Oryzias latipes: one gene and its partners. The protein of the gene in region 2 interacts with the protein of the main gene of each other region in a pairwise test. Links are inferred from orthologs where the notes say so. Each region holds a gene or a part of one and is shown on either strand. Other genes may lie near its edges.

Region 1 (4,266 bases), on a different chromosome or scaffold from region 2:
CTGGAGGTGGGCCGAGAGGTGGAGGTCCAGTCATTGGAGGACCTTGCATGGGTGGAGGACCTTGCTGTGCCACATTTCCGGCAGTAGGAGGCAGATTCTGACCAGCCAAAGAATGAGGCTGCTTTTCTCCCTTTGATCCCCTCTCCTCTGTGTCAGAGCTGTCAGATCCATCCGTATATTCTTCCTCTTCTTCTTCGTCTTCATCCTCCTCAGGAATCGACTGACCTGAGAAGAGAAAAGCAGCGAATAGATATAAATATTTAAATATATTGAGAATAAAAGGCAGCTGTAATGCTGTAGAGATGTGGATGTGGCCCTCGTCCTCACCTGCCATCCTCAACATCATGGCCTGCAGAGGAGTGATGGCTTTGCTCTTTTTCACAACTCTTTTCTTCTTTTTCTTCCCATCTCCTTCCGCTGGCATGTCTGCAAAACGCACACTCCGACCTGCCGGGAATACGAGCCGGAGAAAAAAACACAAGACATTATATTAAAAAAAATGCACTCAGGGATGCTGATCAGCATCTTTGTTTCCTTTTTTTTTACCTCTGTCTTTGTTCTCCTCCCTCTTTTTGTCGTCATCTTGCCGCTCGTTGTCCCCTCCTTCTCGCTCTTCCTCGCTGTCTTCCTCAGAGTCGCTGTCATCGTCCCGGTCATCTCTGTCGCTCTCACTGCCACTGTCCTGATCCCTTTCCATTTCCACGTCTCTATCTAAACCAGGAATGGAGGATTCTTTGCAGAGAAAAAGAAAAGGTAAGAGGAGCAGGAGATTTAAAAAAAACACACACACACTGACATAGATGTGTCTGAATGTTACCGGCTTTTGTGCTGTAAGCTCTCCGAGAAGGAATTCCATAGAGAGCCAGGACCTGAGGAGGTGGGGGTCCAGGTGGGGGCCCTGGTGGCTTCTTTCCTGGAGGTAAACGCGGGACACCAGGTACTGATGCCATCACCGGTCCAGTGGATGAAGAAAGAAGTGGCTTGCTATGAAAAACAAAATGAGAACAATAAATAACATATTACATCCCACAGAATGCAGGAAGAGAAACTTGAACAAAACCAACCCAAAAGGGGTCTTCTTCAGAATGGAGGGAGGCTGCGCCCCTGGCAATGGGATGTCTTGGATGTGAATATTTGAAGGAGCGTGGGGCATGTCAGGTAAAGGAATACTGTCGACCTCCACTGACTCGGCATTCTGGAGGAAAAAATGCAAATATTAACACCTGCAACTAGAAAAAAAAAAAAAAAAAAAAAAAAAAAAAGCCAAAAAGACTTGAAATAAACCAAACTGTGTGTGTGACTTGGAGGTAAAACCTAATTTAAAATTTTTCAAAAGGTAATTAATACTTTAAGAAAAGAATAAAGGATCTTTAAGTGAACAAAGGAAGGAAAAAGGATCAGGAAGAACTAAAGCTACCTTCACTGAATCAAAATAAAGAGCCAGCTGGCCTCGCTTGGTCTCGTAGTCCAGTTCCAGTTTGCGCAGCTCCTTGTAAGTTTCCGGGTTCTCCCTCTCGTACAAATGGATGATGCGCTCAAATGTCTCACGCAGCTTCTTCCTCTTGTCCCTCAGTACTTTCTCATTCAGCAGAGGCTGTTGAACTGGGTTAAACTCTGCAGACAAGAAAAAGAATCAAAATGTTATTTTAAATTAGGATGGAGAGTGACTCAAAAGCTTATCCACATGCATGGACATCAATTTATGGGTTATAATACCGCAGTAGTTAATTCTGCTTAACTGAGGCTACATGACTATGTGTGTAGAGAGTCAGCTCAAAGATTAACTTGGGTTCTAGGAGGTTAAAGATGTAAAATAAAGTGAAAAAAGCAAATAGGAGCTGCTTACCCATCTCATCTAGCTTCTCCATATCTCTGATGATCTGTCTGGGATCCTTCATTTTCAACACTGCTGCTCTTACCATCATCCTCTGCTTCTTGTTCTGTGCAAAGAAAAAGCAAAGAAATGCAATCCAGAATAAAATTGTTTAGAAAAAAAAAATGAATGAATAAAAAAAGCCAACAAATATTCAGCTTAACAGTCCAAGTACCTTTTTTAACTCCCTTTTCCTCGCCTCTTTCCCTGTAAGGTAGGTAACACAAACACAAATGAGTCATGTTGACTGGATCTGATCATCACTGCTCGCACGGGTCGGTACTTACTGGCCTGGTCGGTGGGATTCATGAACTTCCCACTCTTGGTGGAGGAGGTTGAACGTCGCCCCATTGTTGCGGTCAGTCTCGTTTAACCTAACCAGTGCAGAATAAACGATGTAATGAGGTAAACAAACAAAAACTACAATCATATTCTAAAATGTGGTTAGAGTGCCTTGATGTTACTGTTTTATACCAAACTGATGGTAAGTTTTATGATCCCACAAAGCTAAATTAATATTTGAAGGAAGTTTAACTGTTTCTCTTTATAATAGTTGAGCTAGCAGGTAAACACGGAACTCTTGGCTCTTATTTTTACATAATTTGGTAAAACAAAGAAGGAATTCAGGCTGCTGGCAAAGCATATCGAAGCAAAAAGCTTGGACTCCAGCAGAGATTCGCTAGCTTAGCGCGTTAGCTTGCACTTGTGGCTACGCCCGTTTTAGCATCAACTGCAACAAATTAGTCAACGCCGCCTCTACCTTTACTTCAGGAAAACCTGGTGGACCACGATGGGTTTGTCACGCTCTCCGTGACACCTAAAGCAAAAAAATAAAGCCACAACCGAAAGAAAACCCAACACTTTAGGGCTAAATGTGTATGAATGCAACGTTAGCCGTCCGCCATGTTTACTGGCGCGGGCAAAAGCGGAAACACGATTTTGACGTCATAAAATTTCAAAATAAGATACTTTTTGTTGAGTATTTTTAGTTTGTTTGAAAGTTTTTGTTATTTGCTAATTTTATGGCCAAACATCTTCTTTTTTGTAATCAAATGCCGACCTTTAGTATTTGCCTGACAAAATAAAATATTTATAAAGTATTTTATTTATTAAAATGTGTGTTTGTTTGATTGTTTTTTGCCATTTTAAGAGAATGGAAACACAATATACTGCCATTGCTAACTACCGAGTACTAATATTAACAATATGAAAAAATGCATGATGATGTGATGTTTAAAACATTTTTAAAAAATAGAATGACATATTTTTCAAGCAATGACAATAACAAGCACCGATTCCAGCCAGAAAGGCCAAGTGGGCAAAATATGTTTAAAAGTGGGCAGAAAAAGTGGACCAGTTCACCGAATGCCCACTTAAGCCAATGTGAGGCCACCACAGAAACTGCAGACAATTGCCCACATTTTCTGCTCACTTTTAAACCATATGGGGCCCACTTGGCCTTTCTGGCTGAGAGCTAGTAGTATTGTTTACATGGAATTGAACTGTTGCTCTTAGGTTTAGTTAAGATTCAGGTTAACTGTGACAGCTCATTTTCTCTTTCTGACTGATGCAGATGGGGAAGCTGCTCATCTAAACGGATAACCTTCCCAATGATGCTGCCATACACCAGAACATCATTGAAGAAGAAGGCTTTGAGCTCCCACGTCTTCATCGTTTTGTTGTGTGTTTGTGGTGGGGAGGTGTAAGAGGAGTGTAAGGGTTGTGGTAAATCAGCTGTTTCTTTAAAGTCCCATTAGCTGCCATGCACCAAGGTGGGGGAAATTCGTTCTCCGGAACAATGTTATCAAGGACAATTTGGTAGTTTAACCCTCCAATTCAACCGCTTCATGCTGGGTGTTGAGCAGGAAGTTATTGGGTCCCATTTTCAAAGTCTTTGATCTGACTCAGCGGTGGATTTGAACTCACAACCTCCACCACAACCCCTCCACCACAAGGCCTCTGAGCTGGAGACCACAGAATATTGGCCACAGAATAATGATACAGTTGACAACTATGTGAACACGAGAGCAAGTGAAGTCTCAGTGTTATGGTGTCTTCATTGTAATGTAAGTGTAATTAGTTTAAAATTTAAATTAAAAAATGTGTATTTAGTTTTAAAACATGTCAGTAATTAGGATTGGAAGGCCAAATGACCCACACCCACAACACAAAACTGGCAAAAGACTTATAGACATTTTTATGGTACGAAGTCGCATGCTTTGATGAAATATTTGTTCTCATTCTATTTCTATCTTTTGGCCGTGCATTGCATTCTAAGATCATACTGTGTGTAAAAACATTCGACTGTATCATGGGGAACGTGAAACGTTGCATCCCTACTGCATATCATGGTTGTGCTAAATTTAACGACGTTTTATTATTCATTGTTTTAT
Region 2 (3,512 bases):
TTTGTCCTCTTTGTTCCCAGGATCTGCACAGAGCTTGGGAAAACTGCCTTTTCCCCACTTCCCTAGGGGCCTCAGGCTCTTTAGCAGCCACATTCTGCTTACAGCATTCACACTTGCAGTAACTCAGATAATGCTTTATATCTAGTTTTTTTTATTAAATCTTGAAATACTGATTTCTCTTTAATATAGAGCAGTCCTATCTGTGGTAAAGTTTCTTAACAGGTACCTTCTTTACTTAGCTTTGCTGTTGGAAAATTCTTAAATGACCTTTTGGCAAGTTTCCATAAATCAGCATCTTTGTTCTCTGTACAATGTAGTCGGTTTAAACTTTCTTTGTAGTCTAGGTTTTGTGCCAAACCTAGATTTACCTTTAACCTGCTAGCCACTGAACACCAACTTTAGCCTCATCTGACTTTTAAGGTTTGGAGGGACAAAAACTACAAAATAAAATGATACCATTATAAAACTTTTATTTGCAACTTTATTAGCAGCATATTTGTAACATAAGGGAGTTGGTTGCTGCATATTGTGCAGAGGAATAAGCTTGGGGTATGGAAACAAGTCTTGCAAAAAATCCATAATTTAATTAAGTCTTATGTTAAATGCAGATGATTTTTTTCTTTGAATTTGAAAGCACTTCTTCAAGTTCCTCACTTGCTCTCTTCTGCCCAGAGAAACTCTCTTAAGACATTTGGATTTGTTAACTTTGCTAGCTGTGGGCTCTTAGTTAGCGATCAGAGCAGTCGCTTCAAGAAGGTAGCAAATATATCTGAGATCTGTGACCAACGTCTTGGCATGTGTCAATAGTAAGTCAAACGACAAACGTGGGGGACAGAATCTGGTGGTTTTCCAAAATAAAACTCCTTTCAGAATCAGAAAATAAAACAGAAATAATGTATGTTAACATTATTTTTGTTTTATTGTGTGCAGGTTGTCACAAAGTTCCTCAAAAGTGTTTGGGACCACTGCTTTAGAACATCATAGCACACATTTAGAGATCTTTAATTTCAGCTCAGCTGTGACCTTGAATGTCTTTGGGAGGTCTATCACATTCAAGATTTTCTCTTAAATATCCAAACAAACTAGTCTGTCAGTGGTCTTTTCCTGGTGTGATACACAATATGTTACCAAACAGCTAAGAGGTTGTTGTAAGACCAGCAAACTGATTGCAGGCTTGAGAACACTTGTTATGCTAAGGAAACACCTGCATGTTACCCATCTTTTATTTAAAAACTGTTTTAAAAAAATCCTTTTTGACCAAGACTGTTAATTTGTTGAATCAGTTGAACAAGAAATCAAATCAAAGTGATTTTTTGTTAATTTTTCCAAATATTTTTAGCTGTCGGTTTCAGGTAATTTCATTTTAGGTTAATGGTTTCTTAAAGAAACTGAGGTGGACAAATAATTGTGTTTTATGTAAAGTGTTTGGCATGTTTTAACTGTAGCTACATGTCAGCGGTGTTCACACAAATCCACTTTCTTTTTGAGTCAAACAATGGGTTATGCAGGGCTAAACCCTGTAACTGTCAGAATGTGTACCTGTGGTGGGAGGGGCCAGTTTGGAGGCATTTGGCTCAGTGGGAGTGGTCTTGCTGGTGCTGGGGCTCAGCAGCTTGACATAATTGGCAGGAAACCAGCCTATCTGTCTCTTTTTCCCTCGAGCCTGCACCCAGAGAAGATTTGTCATTGTGGTTGTTTATTAAATGCACGTCAACAACCAAAGCTGCAATGTGGACAGTTTGTTTTAATCATTACAAACCTAATCGTTGTCTTTTGAAAAAAAAAAAAAAACCTTTACGAATTCTTCAGAGCAGCTGGACTTTTGGTGGTATTGGAGATTTTTCATGTATCATTCCAGTATCTGTTATGGTCCTATCTGCTGTGTGTCTGTGTGTGTGTGTGTGTGTGGTCTGCAGATGTTGCTATTGTTGAAAAGCTGATGCTTTGAAGTGATGAGCACACTTCAGCACATAAGAATATAGACATTCACGTCAGAATCATCAGCTGAAGTACCATAGACTGAGTGGATGGGGCTTTGTTTATTTGTGTCAGTTGTAAATTACACCCCACTTTCTTTGGCTGAGATTTCAAACAGAATAGTAGCTTAATGACAAAATATGTTTCAGACTTGAGGGAAGGTTTCTCCGTTTAGACATACACTCACCGGCACACCTGTCCAACTTCTCATTAAGGCCATTTCTAATCAGCCAATCACACAGCAGCAGCAGAACTCATTACATTTAGGCATTTAGTCACGGTCAAGACAGTCTGCTGCAGTTCAAACTGAGCCTCAGACTGGGGAAAAAAGGTGACTGAAGTGACTGAATGTGGCCAGTGAGCGGCAGTTCAGTGGGCGGAAAGGCCTTGTTGATGCCAGAGGTCAGAGGGGAATGGCCAGACCGGTTCCAGCTGATAGAAAGACAACAGGAACTTAAAGAAGAACTGGTTACTGAGGTCTCCAGAAGAGCATCTCTGAACACACAACACCTCCAACCTTGAAGCAGATGGACTAAAGCAGCAAAAGACCAAACTGGATGCCACTCCTGTCAGCTAAGAACAGGAAACTGAGGCTACAATTCACACAGACTCACCAAAACTGGACCACAGAAGATTGGAAAAACTGTTTCTGGTCTGATGAGTCTCCATTTCTGTTGCAACGTTTGGATTGTAGGGTCAGAAATTGGCGTCAACAACATAAAAGCATGGAGCCATCCTGCCTTGTATAAGCATATAGGGCTGGTGGTGGTGGTAGTATCATGGTGTGGGAGATATTTTCTTGGGTCTCTTTGAGGCTCTTAGTACCAATTGAGGATGGTTCCAACACCACAGCCTCCAGTATTGTTGCTGACCATGTCCATCCCTTTCTGACCACAGTCTCCCATCTTCTGATGGCTACATCCAGACGGATAAAGCGCTAGTCTGGAATCATCTCAGACTGGTTTCTTGAACATGACAATGATTGAATCTCTGCCACCAAGGATTAAGGCAGTTCTGAAGGCAAAAGGGGGTCCAACCCGGTCCTAGCAAGGTGGACCTGATAAAGTGGCCAGTGAGTGACTCCTTTTTAAACCATCTGTACTCACTGTTCAGAATGTGACTTCATTGTCCTTAAAGTAGCATTTGCTGTTCAGGGAGAAGAAATGTTTTCTGAATAAACCTGTTAAGACCAGCAGCTCTGAAGAACAAGTTGACGGCATGTCATGGTGGAGAAGGTCCTTCCTGAACAGAGTTTTTCATATCATTATAACCTCTAAGCTTTTTTCTGCTATTGTGTTCATCCTAATACGTATGGAGTGTACCCTTGTAACAGAAACGTCTCTACTGAAGTTCAGTCTAGTTACCTGCAGCTCACCCTCCCACCAACCCCCTGGATTCTTCTTCCTAATGAGGATCAGCTGTCCCGGAGCCAGTGTCAGCTGCTCTGGCCCTGTTGCAGTGTAGGGGGCGATCACCTGAGCAATCTCTGAAAGAACAAGCAGGAACATCGTGACTGATGAGTTCCAAGATCTATG
Region 3 (3,942 bases), on a different chromosome or scaffold from region 2:
AGCAGTGGAGATGCAAGCTGGAGATGTGGAAGCACTTTCATATATTCTGGGACTGTTCAGCTGTTCAAAAAATACTGGGTTGAAACCCACACACATTTGCAGAAAGTGTTTAAGATTGCTTTTACGTGTACATTTGTGACTGCTGTTTAGTATGAACAAGACATGATTATGTGAATGAATGAAAACGTATTCAATATTGTTATGTTCTGCACTCCAAATACACATGAGAGTACCGTATAAAAATGTGCATATGTTTTATTAAACACTACATATCTTTGTAACTGGACTTGGGATGGATTTAACTTTTTGGATAAAAACGTACTTAACATGCTTGTACTTAACATAACTTGCTGGCAGCAAGTGCAAAAAGCTGCAAAACAAAAAGATGCTACAAACAGCAAACCCCAATAACAGAGGAGTGGGTCACTATACTCACAATATTGACATTATGGAAAAGCTTTCATTCTTAATTCAAATTCAGACAGGTTTTATAAGAAATGGTCAAATTGGACAGACTATGTTAAACCTGTCTGGACAGATTTTTTCTAAAAGTCGACTTTTAGAATATTTTAATAATTTATTATGATAACACAGTGTTTAAGAAAATATATACACAGTTTTATACTCTCATGTGTATTTGGCGTGCAAAGCATAACAATATTGAATAACTTTTCATTCAATGGCATGATCCTTGCCTTACACATGCTAAACAAGAGTCACAAAAATACACCAGGACAGAATCCCAGAAAATATCTCCCAATGCACAACTCTTTTCCACACCAACATATTGACTAAAGAGTCCAGCAGGGTGTAGTTTTTCACAATAAAACAGCCATTGTTTGGTTTTTAGATTGTTTACAGAAGTCCTAAAATGCATCACCAATAGATTTATCAGTAAGATTGGAAGAAAGCCCCATTCATACAACATTTTATTTTACTTTAAAAAAAAAACTTTATTGTACAAAACGTAAGTACAATCCAAAACACAATTTTGCAAAGTAATCTTCAGATATGCCTGGGGAGCATACATATTACATGCATTTTACATAAAAATATTCAGGTTTCTACAACCTTCATACAAACATACAGCTTTTTGATTAAGGCTTTTAGAGATGTTACTGAGATACATTTCAATTTGTTTGATTAACAGAGGGGATAATATAGAAGAGGAAGAAAATTTGCGTTTATGAATATAAAATCTGCCAAATGTAATAATAAGATTACTTATGAGTTTTTTATTTGAGTCCAAGTTTTTATTATGAAAGCCAAAAATTATATATTCAAATTTCAGAGTGAAGTTGGGGTGAATATGATTTCTGATCAATTGTAAACACTTTTTCCAAAAAAATTCTAATTTCAGTACAATTCCAAAAAAGGTGGCCAATTGTTTCTGGTTGTGTTTTGCAAAAGGTACAATTGATTTAATGCATCTTAGCATGAATTGATTGGTGGGGTAAATTTCGTGAATTATTTTAAAAGAAACTTCATTCATTTTATTATTTATCATAAATGTTTGGGTCACACTCCAACCTTTCCTCCAAATACCATCGGGAACAAAACATGTCCAGTAGGTTTTAGTACATGGCACAGAAATGACGTCCCAGAGAAATTACAAGTACTTTTATGTTTTTTGTTCTAGTGTGAGGGATTAAAGCAGATTTTTCCTGTGGTGGTGTCAGTTGCATCCATAGAGGGCATTTCTTCATTCCTAACAGTTGTTTTAAACATTTGGCATATTTCTTTGGAAACGGTTTCAAACACAATGGCATATTCTTTAGAAGTCACAACCAGATTGTATTTAGAGTTGAATTCAGTATACCTTAATAAATGCCCGTTCATGTTAAAAAGTTGGCCCACCAGTAGAATTCTTTTCTCAAACCAATGTGGGGAAAAACAAAGATTTTTTCTTGTATAATATTAATATTTGTTGTTCCAAATAAATAAGTTATGAGGAGAGAACTTGTGTTTAATAGTGCCACCCATGCAAGAACCATTCATACAACATTGGCAGTTTGTCTTTTGCAATAATAAATAAATATGATAGTTAGTGATCTACGGCTGAGCGGGAAATATCGGAGTCTTTACAATAAATCCACAAAGAAACAAAAGTAACACGTTTACCAATAATGAATGATGGTGGCTGCACGCCCTAACTTCTTCTACAACGGAGCGATATGCTGCTAATTTTTGCACATTAAGCAAATTTGTTTTCCGGTTTCAACTCGCCGCTCCGGTTTGAAAGCTAAACCAATAATCTTTTACAAGTTGCGACAACAAAATCGGCATTTTTCACCGTTTGTCCTCTCCGAAACAAAACGTTAGCTAGAGTTGAGCCACAGCCGTTACACTTCGCTAGCATTAGCTAAAAAGGCTAACCATCATCGTCCTTTACACTTCAGTGACGAAGTGTCAAAATGCAAATTTACACAAATGTCAGGGTACTTATTTCGACAGTTTCTTTGCAACTGTATGTGACGCGTTTATTTTCAGTCGAACCTCCACATTGAAATGAATAGCGAGAAGCGGCCCAGTTTCATCACATCACCGACCGACGAACGGAGCTACTCTGCCGCTGGACTGTCACTGTGCCACCTCCCTCAAAAGTATAATCAAAACAAACGTGTAGATATCTACTTGTATTTCATTTTTAACAGTTTCATGTTCAATACCTGGCTGCGGTTACGTGAGCCGGAAAATAGTCCAAGAGGTCGAAGACGTAGGTTGGTCCTGTGCTTGGTGGGGAAAAAGATGGAGAATCGGGATATAGATGGTGAGTTCACGATCGTAGGAAACTGGAAAACTTCCTACTGGAGTGCAGAAAAGTGGGCGTGTGAACATGAAATCAATTTTTTTTTCATGATTTGGAGCACAAACTCTGACCCAACCGTTTATTTTAAAACAAAAATGAAGCTTAATTAATGACAATTTTTTAAGCCATGTTCATGTTGGTGTTTTTATTTGCTAGTTGTTTTGTTGTTTTAAACTATCAGAGCATCTTACTTTTAACAAGTAAACGTGCAAGACTGCAGGTGTTTATATTATTGATAGTTTAAAAGAAAAAAATGCAAATTACAATCTTTTTTACATAGTTAAAGATTAAATTGCAAGCACATAAAAGCCTTTCTAACCTAGGTCAGTGTTGTAAATCCTCATAAAATCAAAGAACACGTTCTCTAAAAATAAAATGCATTAGTTTCTTAACTAAATGACGCTTCACAAAAGATAAAAATCTATTTTTTTTTCATTTGATATTCACTGAGAAACAGCATACAAACAGCAAAGAAATCAATTAAGCTTTATCAAAAGCCCATTAGGGTCAACTACCACAATCCATGAAACCAATACTTTATTTTTCACCTGTAACTTATATACAGTGTGGCTTCAAAATTATAAAAATGACATAAAAAGTTGGGTTTGTTTTAAAAAAAAAAAGGATGTTGCTTTAATTAAAATAACAAATGTATAACAACAATGAAACTTCAAATATTTTGTAGCAAAAACATTTATTTGTAGAATTATATGCAATAAAATGCAAAAACTACCCCAACAAATTAAAATCAGCTGATTTTTTTTTCCTGACAGTAATCCTGAGAACATGATCTCTTTTAGCCAAACTGGCATCGTTTTTAAAATCCTATTCTGAACCAAGCACCATTCATCCCTGTATCAAGTATAGCAAAAGAACAGATGCATAAATTGTGCATAGGCTGATCAAATGAGAATGACGAGATCCTTAAGACCGGCTCTAAAAAGAAGGAGAAGACTATAGAGATTGCTTGATTTGTGAAAAAGATGTTTCAGGAGGATTTCAATTTCTATTTTTACAGTAGACTGTAACAATAGTTTTGTACTGTTAAGGGGCAGATCAATAATAATTTAACTGAGTTTAAATGAGAAAAAAGCTAAATGTCTTTAACTGAAAGTTGGTATGGTGCTTCATGG

Evidence for each region.
Region 1: the proteins of itsn1 (region 2) and wbp11 interact in a two-hybrid assay, tested with the Homo sapiens proteins (2 studies listed by BioGRID and IntAct). The link is inferred for Oryzias latipes from reciprocal best matches to the Homo sapiens genes ITSN1 and WBP11.
Region 3: the proteins of itsn1 (region 2) and AP-1 complex subunit beta-1 interact in binary tests that used the Homo sapiens proteins (3 or more experiments, as listed by UniProt). The link is inferred for Oryzias latipes from reciprocal best matches to the Homo sapiens genes ITSN1 and AP2B1.

The regions. Positions count from the first base shown.
Region 1 is NC_019866.2:20,478,052-20,482,317, reverse strand, and holds the start of wbp11 (WW domain-binding protein 11), read right to left. Parts: upstream 2,801-4,266; 5' UTR 2,634-2,800; intron 2,248-2,633; 5' UTR 2,225-2,247; coding exon 2,161-2,224; intron 2,081-2,160; coding exon 2,049-2,080; intron 1,941-2,048; coding exon 1,847-1,940; intron 1,615-1,846; coding exon 1,418-1,614; intron 1,196-1,417; coding exon 1,065-1,195; intron 985-1,064; coding exon 818-984; intron 733-817; coding exon 547-732; intron 448-546; coding exon 328-447; intron 226-327; coding exon 1-225. UniProt on the Homo sapiens protein: Activates pre-mRNA splicing. May inhibit PP1 phosphatase activity.
Region 2 is NC_019873.2:615,966-619,477, reverse strand, and holds part of itsn1 (intersectin-1), read right to left. Parts: intron 3,464-3,512; coding exon 3,342-3,463; intron 1,664-3,341; coding exon 1,540-1,663; intron 1-1,539. UniProt on the Homo sapiens protein: Adapter protein that provides a link between the endocytic membrane traffic and the actin assembly machinery. Acts as a guanine nucleotide exchange factor (GEF) for CDC42, and thereby stimulates actin nucleation mediated by WASL and the ARP2/3 complex.
Region 3 is NC_019872.2:25,024,195-25,028,136, reverse strand, and holds the start of AP-1 complex subunit beta-1, read right to left. Parts: upstream 2,801-3,942; 5' UTR 2,670-2,800; intron 1-2,669. UniProt on the Homo sapiens protein: Component of the adaptor protein complex 2 (AP-2). Adaptor protein complexes function in protein transport via transport vesicles in different membrane traffic pathways.